Caenorhabditis elegans: one gene and its partner. The protein of the gene in region 1 interacts with the protein of each later gene in a pairwise test. Each region holds a gene or a part of one and is shown on either strand. Other genes may lie near its edges.

Region 1 (9,200 bases):
TTGATTTGGGTTGAGACGGATTTGGTCGGGAAACTCTGGGAAATCGTTGGTTTCCTGAAAAATTTAAAATTTTTAGTTTGCTTTTTGTTGGAAAAATTCAAATTTTTACATAAAACGCAGCATATTTTTGATATATTTATTTAGTTTTAGATTTTTCAAATTTTTTGAAAAAACCAGTTTTCTAACCAATTTCTTTGATTTTTAGCTTCAAAATCGCTAAGTTATGCCATTTTCAACCGAAATTTGGCAGTTTTTCTTGATTTCTGCGTACTTTTTTCACGATTTTAAAGCTATTTTCACTATATAACTAGTTTTTAATTACAAAAAAATCAATTTCCGCCCGAAATTTCACATTTTTTAATTTCACAGGAAAATCCAATTTCGCCGCATTTTTACCTGAGATTCTCTAGCCAACGCATCACGAGCAATTGCCAAAAATGCGGCTTCAACGTTGAGAGCTTCCTTGGCAGAAACCTCGTAATACGGAATATTTCCCTTCGTCTGGCACCAAGATTGAGCACGTTTTGACGAAACGGCACGCTGTGACTCCAAATCCACCTTGTTTCCGAGCAGGACAAACGGGAAATGGTCTGGATCGCGGGGGCTGCAAGAATTTGAAGTTTTATAGAAAAACCGTGGATTTTTCGAATTTTTTGGAGAAAAATGGTGGATTTTTCCGTTTTATTAGAGAAAAATAATGAATTTTTCAGTTTTTTTACAGAAAAAATGTGATTTTTCTAAATATTCCCCGTACCTAGCCTGAATCAGAAACTCGTCACGCCACGAGTCAAGCGATTTGAACGAGGCGGCATTTGTGACGTCAAAAGCCAGCACACAGCAATCGGCTCCACGATAAAAAGCGACTCCGAGCGATTGGAAACGTTCCTGGCCGGCTGTATCCCAGATCTGAAATTTTTGTGTAAAATTTTGTCTATTTTTGATAATTTTTCACCTGAAGAGTGACGGTTCTGTCGTCAATGTTTACGTCGCGTGTGAGGAAGTCGGCTCCAATCGTTGCCTGAAGGAGAAATTTGTTTATATTTCAGGGAGAATTTTGAGTTTAAACAAAAATTTCAGTTTCTAAAAAAATTGACAAACCTTATATTGATTACTAAATCGCCGATTTACATATTGATTCATCAAAGATGTTTTTCCAACGCCCGAATCTCCGAGAATGATCACTTTGAGCAGCGCCTTCTTTCTGGTTCCCGACATTTTTGTTCACTGGAAGCCTTTTTGTTGTGCTGCAAAAATCAATTAACTGATAAGAAAATGAATTATAGATTAAAAAAAGAAAGAAAAAGATACAGACAGGCGATTGTTCAACCTGTGTCGCAAGAACAAATAGTAACTAAATTGTGACGACGAAATTATTTAGAAATATTACATAAAGCGAAAATACAATTTGACCCGTAGCAAAAAAATACATGTCGGGAAAATGAGAAAAATGGTTAATAAATTTTTAAAAAAAGTATATAAAATTCCTCCAACAAGCTACTGCATGTCCTTGTACTTTACAATCTTCTCCGACGGATTCCACTTCCGATCGGGGCATTGCGATTCTTCATGTTGGTGTCGCAATGCTGCAGAGACGACGTGCAGCGGATTGTGCCTACAAATGGCAGCTTCGAGCGGTCCAGTGCCCGCCTGAAATGGAATATTTTCGATTTTTTGAATGAAATATGTGTAGCTCACCTCGTTGTAATGATTGGTTACCGTGAATAATTGCGGGTCTCGATTTTTCCCTGGATTAAAATAGTATTGTATCAGTTTTTTCGAGTAAAAACCAACCAGTGAACCTAGGAGCGGTTTGAATCGCATCGGCCATTTTCGCGTGAGGGCGCCTGTAAAATGGAAAGTTTCGCATTTTCTGACAAAGAGGATAGTGATGGTGACGAAAAAAAGAACAAAAAGATTGAAAAAGTGGCGATTTTTTGTGTAAAAAGGGGCAAAAAGTGCACGTGACAGGGCCGTCAGCTGGGAGAAATGGCCAGATGAGACACGCGCCGCGAGAGCCGCGACGCGTTCGACAGAGCGCACTTGTGACGAGACCACGGGAATTATCGAAGCATGGAAAGTGATTCGTGGGGATTTTGAGCAGAAAATTAGTTTTTCATGGTGAAAACTGGGAGGAAAATTAAAAACTTCAAAATTAAAGATAAAGCTTTAAAACAAACAGCTTAAACTAGCAAAATATATACTTTAATTTTCAAAATTTTAAATCCACCGAATAAGTGATCCCCCTAATTTTTCAGCTTCAGCTTCTCGTGCTTAGTCATGAGCATGCTCACGCTGAGCAGCTTTGAATAGTAAAAATAGAAGCACTTTTTGAAAGGAAAAGTACAGAAAACATAAAATTAAAATTGGGAAAATGGAAAAAGACTGGGTATTCGGGGGGTTTCCTGGTATTATACTTAGGAATATTCCTGAGTGTAAACTAGGCAAATAAAAAATTTCGAAAGATTGGAAACCGGATTTAGTTTTTTTTTCAGAGAATTTTTCATGATAGACGGGGGAAAAGAAACGAAAAAAAAATGGAAAGAAGCTTTCAGACATGCGAAAAATCTGAAAATAGATTGTGTCTCGAAGAGTTTCAATTTATATTCTTGTTTTCTAGAGTTTTCGACATCAAAAACCGAACAAATAAACAAGGAAACTGTCCGAAAACAAAGAAGAATAATAAAAATGAATCAAAAAGTTACGGTTCAAAGACGCAGCCACAAAAGTTGTTGCAGGGTCTCACCACGACTACCGTAGCCCGTGGAGCGGGAAATTTTGGATTTTGAGGTAAATGGCGCGAATTTCGCTCATTTTTCTTCATTTTTTGCGGAGATTTTGCCCAAAAATTCAGTTTAATTCAATTTACACCTTTTTTTAACGATTTTGTTCCTCAATTCCTCAATAAAACATGATTTTTCGTCGATTTTCCACCAAATTAATTAATTTCAGGAAAGGAGAAGGATGCAATCTTCAAATGGAGAGCATCACCAACAAAAGCAGACGCCGTACTTCATGAATGCTCCATGCGACCCGGCTCTTCTCGCGTTGGCTCAACAAACGTTTCTAGGCTTCCAACCACAAAAGAATATGTATCAACATGGTATTTTCTTTAGCTTCTGAAGGATAAATCGAATAAAATTAAAAATTAATTTTAGGATTTCCCCCGATGCTTCCCCACAGGAACCTCATTCCGTCGCTGGCGGCCGCGATTCCCGAAATGGATAAGCTAATGTTGGAGGAGCCAATTGAGGCTGGAAGCATGCCATATCGCAGAGCCACCAACAAGAATATCTCTGTGTCCGATGACGTAGGAGAAATTTGAATTATTAAATTCAAAAAATATAAAAATCTAATATTTTTCAGTCATTCAACAACATGCATCGGTCCTCTTCCTCATCGCAATATCGCCGTCATTCCGCTCAATGGGAGACTATGACTGATGACGAACGAGAGTCGGTTCAGCGTCAGAAGCGCAAGGAAGAAGCATTCAAGACGGCACTTTGTGACGCTTTTAAGCGCTCAGGCTCCTGCCCGTACGGCGAAGCTTGCCGGTTTGCTCACGGCGAGAACGAGCTGAGGATGCCGTCGCAGCCACGTGGCAAGGCGCATCCAAAGTACAAGACGCAGCTGTGCGACAAGTTTTCCAACTTTGGACAGTGTCCCTATGGACCACGATGCCAGTTTATTCATAAGCTGAAGAAGGTTGGAACATTTGAGATTGCAGGAATTCTCATAAATGAATAAAATAGCATTATTTTCTTAGGTTTTTATATTAGGTTTTTTTGTTTAAAATCTTCAAATTCTTACTAATTTCGTCGAAATTTTGAGCTGAAATTCGTTGAAAATTGCGAAATCTTTACAAATTTTGGTTATTTTCAGTGAAAAAGATCAAAATTTGGTCATTTTCAGTTAGATTTTCAAATTTTCGTTAAAAATCATCAAATTCTAAGTAATTTCATGGAAATTTTGAGCTGAAGTCAGTTTATAATCCTCGTTTTGTGTGAAACACATTGTAACTTTCAGATTTTTCGTTAAACTGTTAAAAGTCGCGTTCAGTTCAATTTTCCACAAATTTTTCGCCATTTTCACTGAATTTTGCCCCTAGTTTTGTGGGAAATCTTGCATTTCCTAAAAATTTCATAAAAATTCGAGCTGAAATTCGTTGAAAATCGCGATTAATTCTTTTTTTTTCACAAATTTTAGGTTATTTTCACCAAAAAAGACAAAAATTTCGTCATTTCCAGTCGGATTTTTCTGATTTTTCGTTAAAAATCTTCAAATTCCTATTCATTTTATAGAAATAGAGCTGCCAAACCCATTGATTTTTTAGTGAAATTTTTCAAATGTTCTGTTTTCTCGCTATTTTTTAATTGAAAAAATCAAAATTTGAGTCATTTTCAGCGCAGATTTCCTAATTTTTCCCGAAAAATATTCAAAATCTAGTAGATTTCCATAGGAATTTTTAATTTTTAATTAAAAAAAAATTCTTGCAGGGTCTTCCACTGAGCGAGTACAACCGTGCTCTTCAAGAAGGCGAGATCTCACCGGCTCGCGACGACGAGATCACCAATCCCGACGAATCATCATCCCAAGTGGAGGATCTGAGTGAGCTTCACCATCGACAACATCAGCAGCAGCAGCAGTACCAACAACGCTATCGTCGGCCACCATTCAACAATTTCCACGATATGTCGGATAGTGGATACAGTGCTCCTCGCCGCCGGCTTCATCATCAATTCGAGCATCTTGGTAGTGAGCAGCAGCAGCAGCAGCAGCAGCAGACACCAGCTCCGAAGATTGTCTATCCATCGATGCAAGTTGTCAATATTGAAATGGCAACTGGTGACGGACCTAAAAGGTCTGACAATCATCATTATCATCATCATCATCATCAACGTCGTCATATTCCGGCACCACCATCCACCGGTCCACTGAGCTCTCTCATTGATCAGGCCGACTATGAAGCTTCTATGGCAAGCGGGAAAATGTTCGGAAAACCAGTTAGTCCGCCTTTTTCCCGGATAAAACCGTCAAGTTTTGAGAATTTTCAGGAGAACATTCGCACCTATGGAGCCATGATCCGCGCCAACGAGGAGCACGTCGAGCGTAATCAGACTGGAGTTGTCAAGAAGGAACGGGCGACGGTTCTACCGAAAAGGGTACGGCATCCCCGCTGAACAATTGCTTCTAATTATGAAAAAAACACAAAAAATGCGATTTTTCAATGCGACCAATCAGCGATTCACACCGCCCACTTTTCAACCAATCATATATAGTGGGCGGAGCTGATTGGTTTGGCAGTTCTCTTCAAAGTTTAAATATCAATTTAAATCTCTTTTTACGAATCTTTTTCATTTTTTGTAGTTTTTTTTCCGAATTTTTTAGAGAAAAACCCCCATTCTCGCTTTTTTTAGAGAAACCACCAAAAAAATCGGCAAAGAATGTAAAATTCTACTTTAAAACCAGATTTTTCAATTTTGGCGAAATTCCCTTCAAAATGAGAACTGCGACCAATCAGCGATTCGCACCGCCCACTTTTCAACCAATCAGATGTAGTGGGCGGTGCTCGAAGACGCTGATTGGTTTTGCAGTTCCTTTTTGTGGTTTTTAATGAATTTATACTATTTTTGGATTAAAAAAAGAAGCAAAATTCCCGTTCTAGCTATTTTTCAGGGAAACCACGAAAAAAAATGAAAATTATTTTTTAAAAACCCGATTTTTTTAAATTTTGGCGAAATTCCTTCCAAAATGAGAACTGCGACCAATCAGCGATTCGCTCCGCCCACTTTTCAACCAATCACAAAAAGTGGGCGGAGCTCGAGGACGCTGATTGGTTTAGCAGTTCCATTTTGAATTTTAGAGAAAATCCCCCATTCTCGCTGTTCTTTCCAAAAAAAACCACAAAAAAATCCCTGAACAATGAAAAATCTACTTCAAATAAACTCCGCCCATTTCATTTGATTGGTTGAAAAATGGGCGGTGCGAATCGCTGATTGGTCCCCCTCCATACAAATTTTGTTTCAGGATCTTTCACTGATTCGCGAGGAGGATACACTGCTCGTCGACGGTTCTCATCTGAATATGACGTCATCGGCGATTCTGCCAGCTCATCAAATCCCTTCCACCACGACCACCAGCACATCATCTCCAGTCCAAGAACAGCCGTGGTACGAGAAGATTTTCGGGAAAATGACAATGATCCAAGAGGAATCATCGATGGGCGGTGAAGACGACGATGCTCACGAAGATCATTATTCGAGATAATCTGGATTCCTCCGTCCACCCCCTACCTACCTACCTAAAAATCTGCCAAATTCTCACAAATTGTCCCAGTCCAAAATCTCTTACAACAAGAACAAAAAATCCCCTCCAAATTTTCATGTCATATCATAATTTTCCCCCCACACCACCAAAAAAATGTCCATATTTTGTATTTTTGTGTCCCACCCCCCGGCCAATCTGAGCCATATTTATTTTGATAATGATTGTAAAAAGTTATTTTGTGATCTCTACCGTTTCCCCCCAAACATTCCCCATTTCTCTATCTCTCTCTCTAGTCTATCTCACTCTCTCTATCGGTGTCTCGCCACGATACCCACCGACCCAGAACGCCAAGAACAAATATGAAGAGATTTGAATTTTTATTCAAAAACAAAAAAATACTCAAAATCAATCAATAATCCACAGACCAAACTTCACTGTTCCACTTGCAACGGACAATGTTCCGCCCGTATTTTTTGATCATTTCCTCGGCGATTGCCACGTAGTCCGCGCGGCATTTCTCCGAATTCGCGCCTTTCTGCGATTTCCAGGCGGCATATTTTTTCCTGCCGACCTCGTCACCGGCGGGAACTGCTGAAAAATATAGAATGTTAGATTTTGGATTATTTTCCATTCGAGACCCTTACGATACACATCCTCATTTGGAATGTCCCCATGGAGAGCCTGTTTGTACAATGCGTAGAGTTTCAGCCGCTCTCGATCGGTTGGCTCGGACTTGAGCCGACGCATCTCCTCGGCGGCAATTTCAAAAGTTAGCCCGGTCCATTTCTGAGGGAATTGGGAATTTGATTGTTATTATTGAATCCTCGAAAAATTCGGTGGAGCGCGCTTGCATCTTTTACTATTATGGGGCGTAAACGGCCGCGAATCATGGGTCTCGTTATTACGGGACCATGAGATCATGAGAATGCCTATTACTGGCGCGAAAATATTGGCAGGCCGCGGCAGCGAGAGAGCATATGGCGAAGAGAGACGCAGGTCCCTTCGCTACGAGATATTTGCCGCCAGAGAAGTAGGCATTCTCATGATCTCATGGTCCCGTAATAGGTATTTGGTGAAAAATTTCGAACGTTTTCGAGAATTTTGCAGCGTTCTCAAAAACTACGGAATATATAGGAAAAATGTTTGAATTTACGATTTTACCGCCAAATTTGGACGCCATACCTAAACAAGACCCATAATTCGGGGGCGGAGCGTTTCAAATTAGCCGCCGAGCGCGTTTTCACGTCGATTTCATTTTTCTGGATTTAACAAAATCAGTGTTCTGGGCTTCCTCAATGCATTTTTCGCGCTCCATTGACAATCGTCAACGCGTGGAAAAGTGTCGTGTACTCAACACGGACAAATACATTTATTTTTACAACTAAAACCGAGCCGCGACGCGACACGCAACGCGCCGTAAATCTACCCCAGATATGGCCGAGGCAAAATGGCCTAGTTCGGCCTAAAATCTTCCATTTCAATTTACGAGGGAATTCCCTCCCTAGGGAAGCCAGAAATCCGTGACTACGGAAAAAAAGTTCAAATTCACGATTTTACCGCCAAATACCTAACGAGACCCATGGTTCGAAGGCGGAGCGTTTTAAATTTGCCGTGGAGCGCGTTTTCACATTGGAATGAGCGTCTCATTGAAGCGAACTTGCTGACCAGACTGAAATTGAAAATTAGCTCACCTTTTCGAGCTCGGAAATCGGCATTTTTGGAGGCGATAGAATTATTGTTGGCTCCCGCGGAGCACACACGCTTTTATACCCCCTAATTGGCTAAAATATTCGCGAATTTTCGAGGGAAATTGCCTGAAATTTGAGTGGAGGCCCTATATGAGATGTGTGTTCGATGAATATGTAATTTGAGAAAAATAATTGTTTATTTTGTGAGAAATATAATTATTTAAATTCGTTAAATAAGTTTCATGAAAGTTTTTACAGTAGAAAAGCTAAAAAATCGATATATTATGGATTTTTGAAGGCATTCAACGGTGAAAAATTGAAATTTAGTGAGTTTTTGGAAAAAAATTTGGGTGAGAATTTGTATAATTTTTGAGTAAAATAAAAAGTGGGGGAAATTAATAATTTTTATCCGTTGGTGTGTCGTTGCAGTCGCGTAGGGGGTTCCTTGCCAGTTGTTTCTCTGAAATTTCAAAAAAATTATTTAGTTTTTGACTGGCAACGAGCTCGTACGCGTCAAAAAAATACGATGAGAACAAAAAAAAACAAGGAGAGGGGTATGCGCCTTTAAGATAAGGATACGGTAACGGGGGGGAGGTCACTGGTCTCGACACGACAGTTTACTGCGAAAAGGTGTGCGCCTTTAAAGAGTACTGTAGTTCTCAATTTCACGTGTTTAAAATCGTTTTTTCATAGTTTTACAAAAAAAACATTTGGAAATTCGTCAGCAATCTAATTTGTAAACTACAGTACTATTTAAAGGCGCACAACGTTTTTTTCCCATTAAACAAACATTTGTCGTTAACGTTTCGAGACCAAAAAGTCGCGAAATTTAGTACCTGAGTAATAATAAACTAGGAAAACCTTGACTAACTACCGTATCAGAATTTAAAGGTGCATGTTTCATAAAGAAGCGTCTAGATAATACATTTTTGAAGTTGAAAACCCCCTAATTTTTTAAAAATTTACAGTTTTTCCAAGTGATAGGTAATTTTGCATGACGTGATGATGATGATTCAGAAAATAAACCGCAAATGATAAGAAATTATCAATAAATGTTAGCAAAAGTGATTACGGTATTCCGAATACTAAAAAAACAAATTTTTTTCCTAAATTTTTTAATTTTCCCAAAACCATAGCCAAAGTTGTAATTATTTTTGAATTCCCGCTTCACCGAATAATTCAGACATTTTTCCGCAAACATTGCGATTTTTAGGTAAATTTTCGAATTTCAGCGAAATTTCTCATGGT
Region 2 (6,141 bases), on another chromosome or scaffold:
ATTTTTGATAAGAAACACTTTTTCTTTAGTTTCATATTCCTAACAGAAAAAAATTTGCGTTTTGAAATAAAAGTTTAATCGTGCTGCAACGCCAAATTAAAACGCTCCGCCCACATATTTTGGGTCTCGTTAGGTACTGTAGAAAACCGTAAACTAAACGTTTTCAATTTTTTTTCTTTTTCTATGTTATGCCTAACATGTTAAGAGTTTCTATTTTTATGTCGAAATTAATGAGATATGAGATAAAATTAATATCCGAATGAAAATTATTTTATTAACATTATTTTGGCATAAATATCTTTAAACATGAAAACATAACAAAAAAGACTAAAAATGATTCAAACCGAGTGAAATCTTACGGTTTTGCTACCAATACCTAACGAGACCCAACGTTTGGGGGCGGTACCTTTTAAACTCAGAAATTTAAAGGCGGGGCTTCGTTCCAAAACTGAGAAACGTGAGTAAAAAGTAGAACTTTTTAAGCAAACAAACTATTGACTGTCATGTTTATTTTTTTTTCGAGTTTCCGCTCTAAAAATTGTTAAAATCTTGATATATTTGTTCACGTTCCTGTGTCTCCGAACGAAGCTCATCCCACGAATCGCATCGACTCTAAAATACACTAAGTTTTGAGACCCGAAGAACTCGGGGGATGTCCAATTGGGGGGATTACCAACTCGGGGGATTGGCCCCGCCCACAGAACCGTGGCTTGCAATACGCCCATTTCTGCAACTGCCGCACGGTTTTAAAATCATTTTTTCTTGTTAATCCTCACTCTATTGATAAAAATACAGTTTTAAAACCGTGCGGCAGTTGCAGAAATGGGCGTATTGCAAGCCACGGTTATGTGGGCGGGGCCAATCCCCCGAGTTGGTAATCCCCCCAGTTGGACATCCTCCGAGTTCTTCGGGTCTCCTTCGGGTCTCTAAATTTTACGCAGAAATGCAGAATTCTGCAATTTGACGCCAAGTTTCGTGTTTCTCACCGATTTTTTTTTAATTTTTAATTTTCTTGCTCTTGGAATCTTTAAACAGCCAAATTTGGAAACCTTCATATTATTTTTTAAGAAACGTTTGATGTACCTTGTTCTTGTTTTGTAATTCCTCTTCAAACAAATAATTTCAGTTACAGATGGCTGATTTCACAAATAACGCTCTCAAAAAGTTTAAGCTCGTTTTTCTCGGCGAACAGAGTGGTAAGTGATTCCGAGGGCCGTTTTAGTTTCAAAAAAACTTATATTCAGTGGGAAAAACTTCTATCATCACCAGATTCATGTATGATTCGTTTGACAACACCTATCAAGCCACCATTGGAATTGACTTTCTCAGCAAGACTATGTATCTTGAAGACAGAACCGTAAGATACCATGTAGAAAATTGAAACTAAATTAATTACCTTGTCAGATTCGCCTTCAATTGTGGGATACCGCTGGCCAGGAACGTTTCCGATCTTTGATTCCATCTTACATTCGTGATTCGAGTGTTGCCGTTGTCGTGTATGATATTACTAGTGAGTTCTACTAGAATCTGAGATTTTAAATTATTTTAATAATTTTTCAGATGCCAATTCCTTCCATCAAACAACAAAGTGGGTTGATGATGTTCGCAACGAACGTGGATGTGACGTCATTATCGTGCTCGTCGGAAATAAAACCGATTTGGCTGATAAAAGGTAACGAACATGCACTCTAAAATTATTCCAAACAACAAGAAATTCAGACAAGTTTCGACGGAGGATGGAGAAAAGAAGGCTCGCGATTTGAATGTGATGTTCATTGAAACTTCTGCAAAAGCTGGCTACAACGTCAAACAGGTACTTATTTTTGAAATTCGTCTGAAAATTTTCAGACAATTAAAGTAAAAATAAGCCTTTTCAGCTCTTCCGCAAAATCGCTACGGCACTTCCAGGAATTGTCCAAGAGGAGACGCCTGAGCAGCGTAAGATTCTTATCAAACATTTTAGTGATTTATTTTAATTTTTTCAGCCAACATCGTTATCATGAATCCTCCTAAAGACGCGGAAGAGAGCCAAGGCCGTCAATGTCCGTGTTAAATCCAATCCGCAGCTTTTCATCAACCAAATTTATTATTTATTTTCCAAATATGGGTTTTCAAAAATTAGCAACTGTTTCTCTCAACTCCACGCTTATGTTCCCGTTGTTGCCTTCCTCTTCATCGCTCATCAAAATTTAAATCGAATCTATTGCCTGTTTCAAATGTATCGTGCTCAAGTGTACCGTAAATGAATCGAATAAGTCTGTATTGACAAAATTGAACAGGTGGAAAAATGAAAAGTAATATCATTACAAATAGCAGGAAGCGTCAGAAAATTGCAGGCGGTATTAAATTAGGGGTGAGGGTTTAATAAATCATTAAAATTCTAAATTTGGTGATCAGATCACTCGGGGGAATGTGTTTAAAAAATAAAGGAATTATTAGTTAAAAATAATAATTACGAATTATAGAATATAAATACAAAATAATTATCAGAGGGGGTGGGGGGAGTGTCATGCTAATAAGGGGGTTTACTTAGTTTTTTGAAATTATTATTGTTGAATATTTATCGTGCACAAATTTTCGGCAGTTTCTTTTTCAAGTTCTTCTTGCATTTTAAGGCAGCATTTGATTCTATAGTAACTTGGGTCGATTTCGACAGATTCCTTGAGAACTTGAATACATTTTAGCTTCAATGAAAGTGGCTGGAAGAATGGAAGCTCGCAATAACTCATCCCTGAAAAATTACGATGAAGAAAACGTCTATTTGGTGGAGGGATTACCATAATTTTCCTTGTATCGAAATAGGAATACAGAGCCACTAGGATGGGGAAGAACCACGTCAGTTCTGAAAAAAAAATACTTAGGAAAAAAATAGATTAATTTGTACCCAAGAATGAGAGCATCCACAGCCTTGATTCGCTCGCTGTCCAAGTCAATACAGCAGAATGACGAATTACGTGGCTTATGGCTGCAACAGTAATCACGGGCGTCCAAATCGGCAACACGCTGAAATTAAATTAATAAACTATCAACAAATAATATTTTCATATCCTACGGTTCTCATTTTCTTGCTGAGCCCCATATCAACAGTAAAGTGTGACCATCGTTGTACTACAACCATTTTGCCATGCTGTGCTATGCTCTGATGTTCTTGACGGAGCTCATCGCTGATTTTTCGCCATAGTTCAATGTCACCTCGATTGAATCTTGTCTCTATTGTTTCAGGATTAACTGCATGAATCGCATCTTTTTCGCCCTTTTCGATGACATCTTTCAAATTCACACGAAGTTGAAATACTCCTCTGTGCGGTTTCGTCTCCGGGTTATCAATTTGCGGATCTAGACCATAGTCCCGGTTTTGCTCCTCGATAAATGAATGCGAATCAATCCTAATGAAAAAATTAACGTCATTTCTGTAGACCCATGGCACGTAGTGAGATGATACAAATGGATCGAGAAATACGCGAATACCAGTGAATTGACTGACGATATCGTTCATATCAAATGATACACATTTCGCTTTGAAACACGTTGAAGTTGGAATAAATGGAAGAAGAATCAGAGAATCCACTCCGTTTGAGAATACCAACCACAGGTAGTTATTGTGATCAATGAACGGTTCGCCACGTCGATTTTCGAAAATATGGTACCAATAAGATGCTACGATTGTTTTATTCGTACGGTACTTGCATGAACCAGAGTACACTAATGTCTGTGTTTCGTGAGATACGTAGAAGAATGATTGCTTGAATTTCAATGGAATTTCATCATCCGGTCCTGCTTCATAGTCTTTCTGAAATTTTATTTTTTGGATTAGGTATGGTAGATCGGACACTTACTACAAGGGTTATTGTGCCGATTATATCGTTTCGTGCCCAGTAGAGAAAGCAAACTCGTGGAATTTCGAAAGCACCACGGTCCATGGTGTATAGGGTCCATTTGTTCGTATGTAGATCGAATACAGCCATACGGTCACGTAGTTGTTGGTTAATGACGTCACGACCGCCCGGAAGATCAATTCCATATCTTCCACACGGCGACCACTTCCAGACAAACGATTCTACGTCAGAAAGGCGCCTGAAAAGGTTATAAAATTTAATAGATATATATCTAGAGATCCTCACCTATATTTTTCATCTATGAACTCGTATTCGCTGAATTCGTCGCAAGTCTGAAATTTTTGTTTTGTCGAAACTGAGTGGTTTTCAAGATTTTTACCTGTGGAACCAACTTCCATGGTATCTCATTTACACAGAAAGTAGATAACTGACTGGTACTCGCGGAACACTCACTCATTGTGTCCACTCTGTAATTAGATACATATTTTTGAACAGAAGAGAGTAGAATTAAGATTAAAATAGAAACGTGAAACGTTTTTAAAAATATAAACGATTAAAAAAAGTATAGTTCAGTTTTTAAAAAAATGTATTGCTATCATTTTTGCTGAATTTGAATCATTCAAATGAATATTCTAAGGTGAGAGGAGATTGAAAATAAGCGATAACTAATCGGATTGCAGAATGGAAATCCGTAGTTCCGAAAAAGTGGTTCTTTCCTTGTCAGTCGTTGCGAGCTTGGTTTATTGGGGATGGACATGGTGGAGAAATCAAAATGGAACGGATGTGAAGCAGGTGTCTAACAGACGAAACCCGAACATTTTCCACATGGTTCGTTCGCCAGGCTCGCCGAGAACACGAGACGCCCATAAGAATCGCGGGTGTACTTGTAAAATGATTAGCACTAAAGACGATTGTCAGGAGGTTGGAAACATAAAAACATGAAAAGTGTAAATATTTTCCTATGTTGCAGAGAAAGCAAAAATCCAAGGACAGTGGAGAGAAGGAAGTTGACACAAATGTAAGAAGCAGCCAAAAGCCAAACAATTTTCATTATTTTTTTTTATTTTCAGCAAAATTTGATTCCGTCTTCAATGAGAAACTCTCGTCGAATTATGCTCAATAGATAATTTTCGTGTAAAAATAAACGTTTTATTTATATTGTTTTTTCACGTGACCTCTGAGGTCACGTGCCACGTCATCGAAACGAATCTCGATGAAGAATCAAAATTAATTTATTTTCATTTATTTTTGCGAGCATTAGAAAAAATTGAGATGTCTGCTACTCCAGTCACTCTGAAAGCTGTACAAAGTGAAGGTTTGTTTGTTTCTTATTAACTAGTAAAACGGAGAAGCAAGTGAGCGCGAGAGAATAGGATGAACAATGTCGCTGGCTAGAGATGAACGGGAAAATAGCTGAACGCGGACCGCGGGCGGATTGATTGGCTTTGATAGAGATGAATGTTTTTATGCGGAACAAAACAAGAAAGCTTGCGGCGACGTAGGAATGTGAGATTTAGAGATTTCTCGCGAGGAACATGGAAAATTGGGCAGATTGTCTTTGAATTCCCGCTTGAAAAACATTGCCGCGTCGAGACCCATCCATTAAACGTCCTGCGCCTTTAAGATTACGGTATCACATGTATTTTTATTCTTTGAATCGTTTCTTGATTTTCAATCAAATAAACGCGAATTTTAGCATGTTTTATGTTTTCAGTATTTAAAAAACGGTTGAATTAAATATTTTCAGTATCTGCCCAAACTGCGAAGTCATCGGAGGCAGAAGTAAAGCGATGCGAGGATCTTATCCTGTCTTACTCGAGGCAACTTGCTAAGGAAAAGGATATTACTGGAATCCGAACACTCGTCGAATCCATTCGTAGCTTCTACGATCTTGTTGGAAAAGCTCGAGCAAGTAAATTGATAAGAGATATCGTGGAACATGCGCTTACGATTGATCAAGGAGTCGGGCCTGCGCTTGATCATGGAAAGAAAGAGAAGATCGATCTCTTGACGAACTGCATCGGCTGGGCGACGTCCAACAAGAGGGAATTTCTCCGTCGGAGTCTTCAAGCCCGTCTCATTCGTCTCTACAACGATATCCGTGACTTTACGAACGCTCAAAAGCTGGCTCAAGACCTTTCAAAAGAGCTCAAAAAGCTTGAGGACCGTGAATTGCTAATTGAAGTTTCTGTCGAAGAAAGCAAGAGCTCGTTCAATCTCAATAACTTGGCGAAGGTGAGAAATGTCTAGAAAATTGAAATAAAAGTGCATTTAATATATTTTCAGGCAAAGACTGCACTTCTGA

Evidence for each region.
Region 2: the proteins of mex-1 (region 1) and zif-1 interact in a two-hybrid assay, tested with the Caenorhabditis elegans proteins (one study listed by BioGRID).

What each region holds. Positions count from the first base shown.
Region 1 is NC_003280.10:11,965,688-11,974,887, forward strand, and holds mex-1 (C3H1-type domain-containing protein), read left to right. Parts: upstream 1-2,949; 5' UTR 2,950-2,961; coding exon 2,962-3,100; intron 3,101-3,155; coding exon 3,156-3,307; intron 3,308-3,363; coding exon 3,364-3,702; intron 3,703-4,493; coding exon 4,494-5,000; intron 5,001-5,042; coding exon 5,043-5,159; intron 5,160-6,024; coding exon 6,025-6,264; 3' UTR 6,265-6,660; downstream 6,661-9,200. Other genes in the region: rab-7 (Ras-related protein Rab-7a), read right to left, coding at 1-54, 397-604, 755-906, 953-1,018, 1,099-1,215; W03C9.5 (PTK2), read right to left, coding at 1,495-1,647, 1,696-1,745, 1,792-1,828; acbp-6 (ACB domain-containing protein), read right to left, coding at 6,674-6,855, 6,909-7,050, 7,956-7,979.
Region 2 is NC_003281.10:9,000,941-9,007,081, reverse strand, and holds zif-1 (Zinc finger-interacting factor 1), read right to left. Parts: upstream 4,304-6,141; 5' UTR 4,294-4,303; coding exon 4,216-4,293; intron 4,169-4,215; coding exon 4,122-4,168; intron 4,075-4,121; coding exon 3,837-4,074; intron 3,791-3,836; coding exon 3,053-3,790; intron 3,004-3,052; coding exon 2,885-3,003; intron 2,843-2,884; coding exon 2,778-2,842; intron 2,732-2,777; coding exon 2,547-2,731; 3' UTR 2,243-2,546; downstream 1-2,242. Other genes in the region: Ras-related protein rab-6.1, read left to right, coding at 1,133-1,196, 1,245-1,357, 1,405-1,510, 1,561-1,672, 1,720-1,813, 1,878-1,938, 1,986-2,053; F59B2.15 (uncharacterized protein), read left to right, coding at 4,460-4,473, 4,517-4,757, 4,807-4,854, 4,907-4,963; putative 26S proteasome regulatory subunit rpn-6.2, read left to right, coding at 5,109-5,151, 5,584-6,071, 6,123-6,141.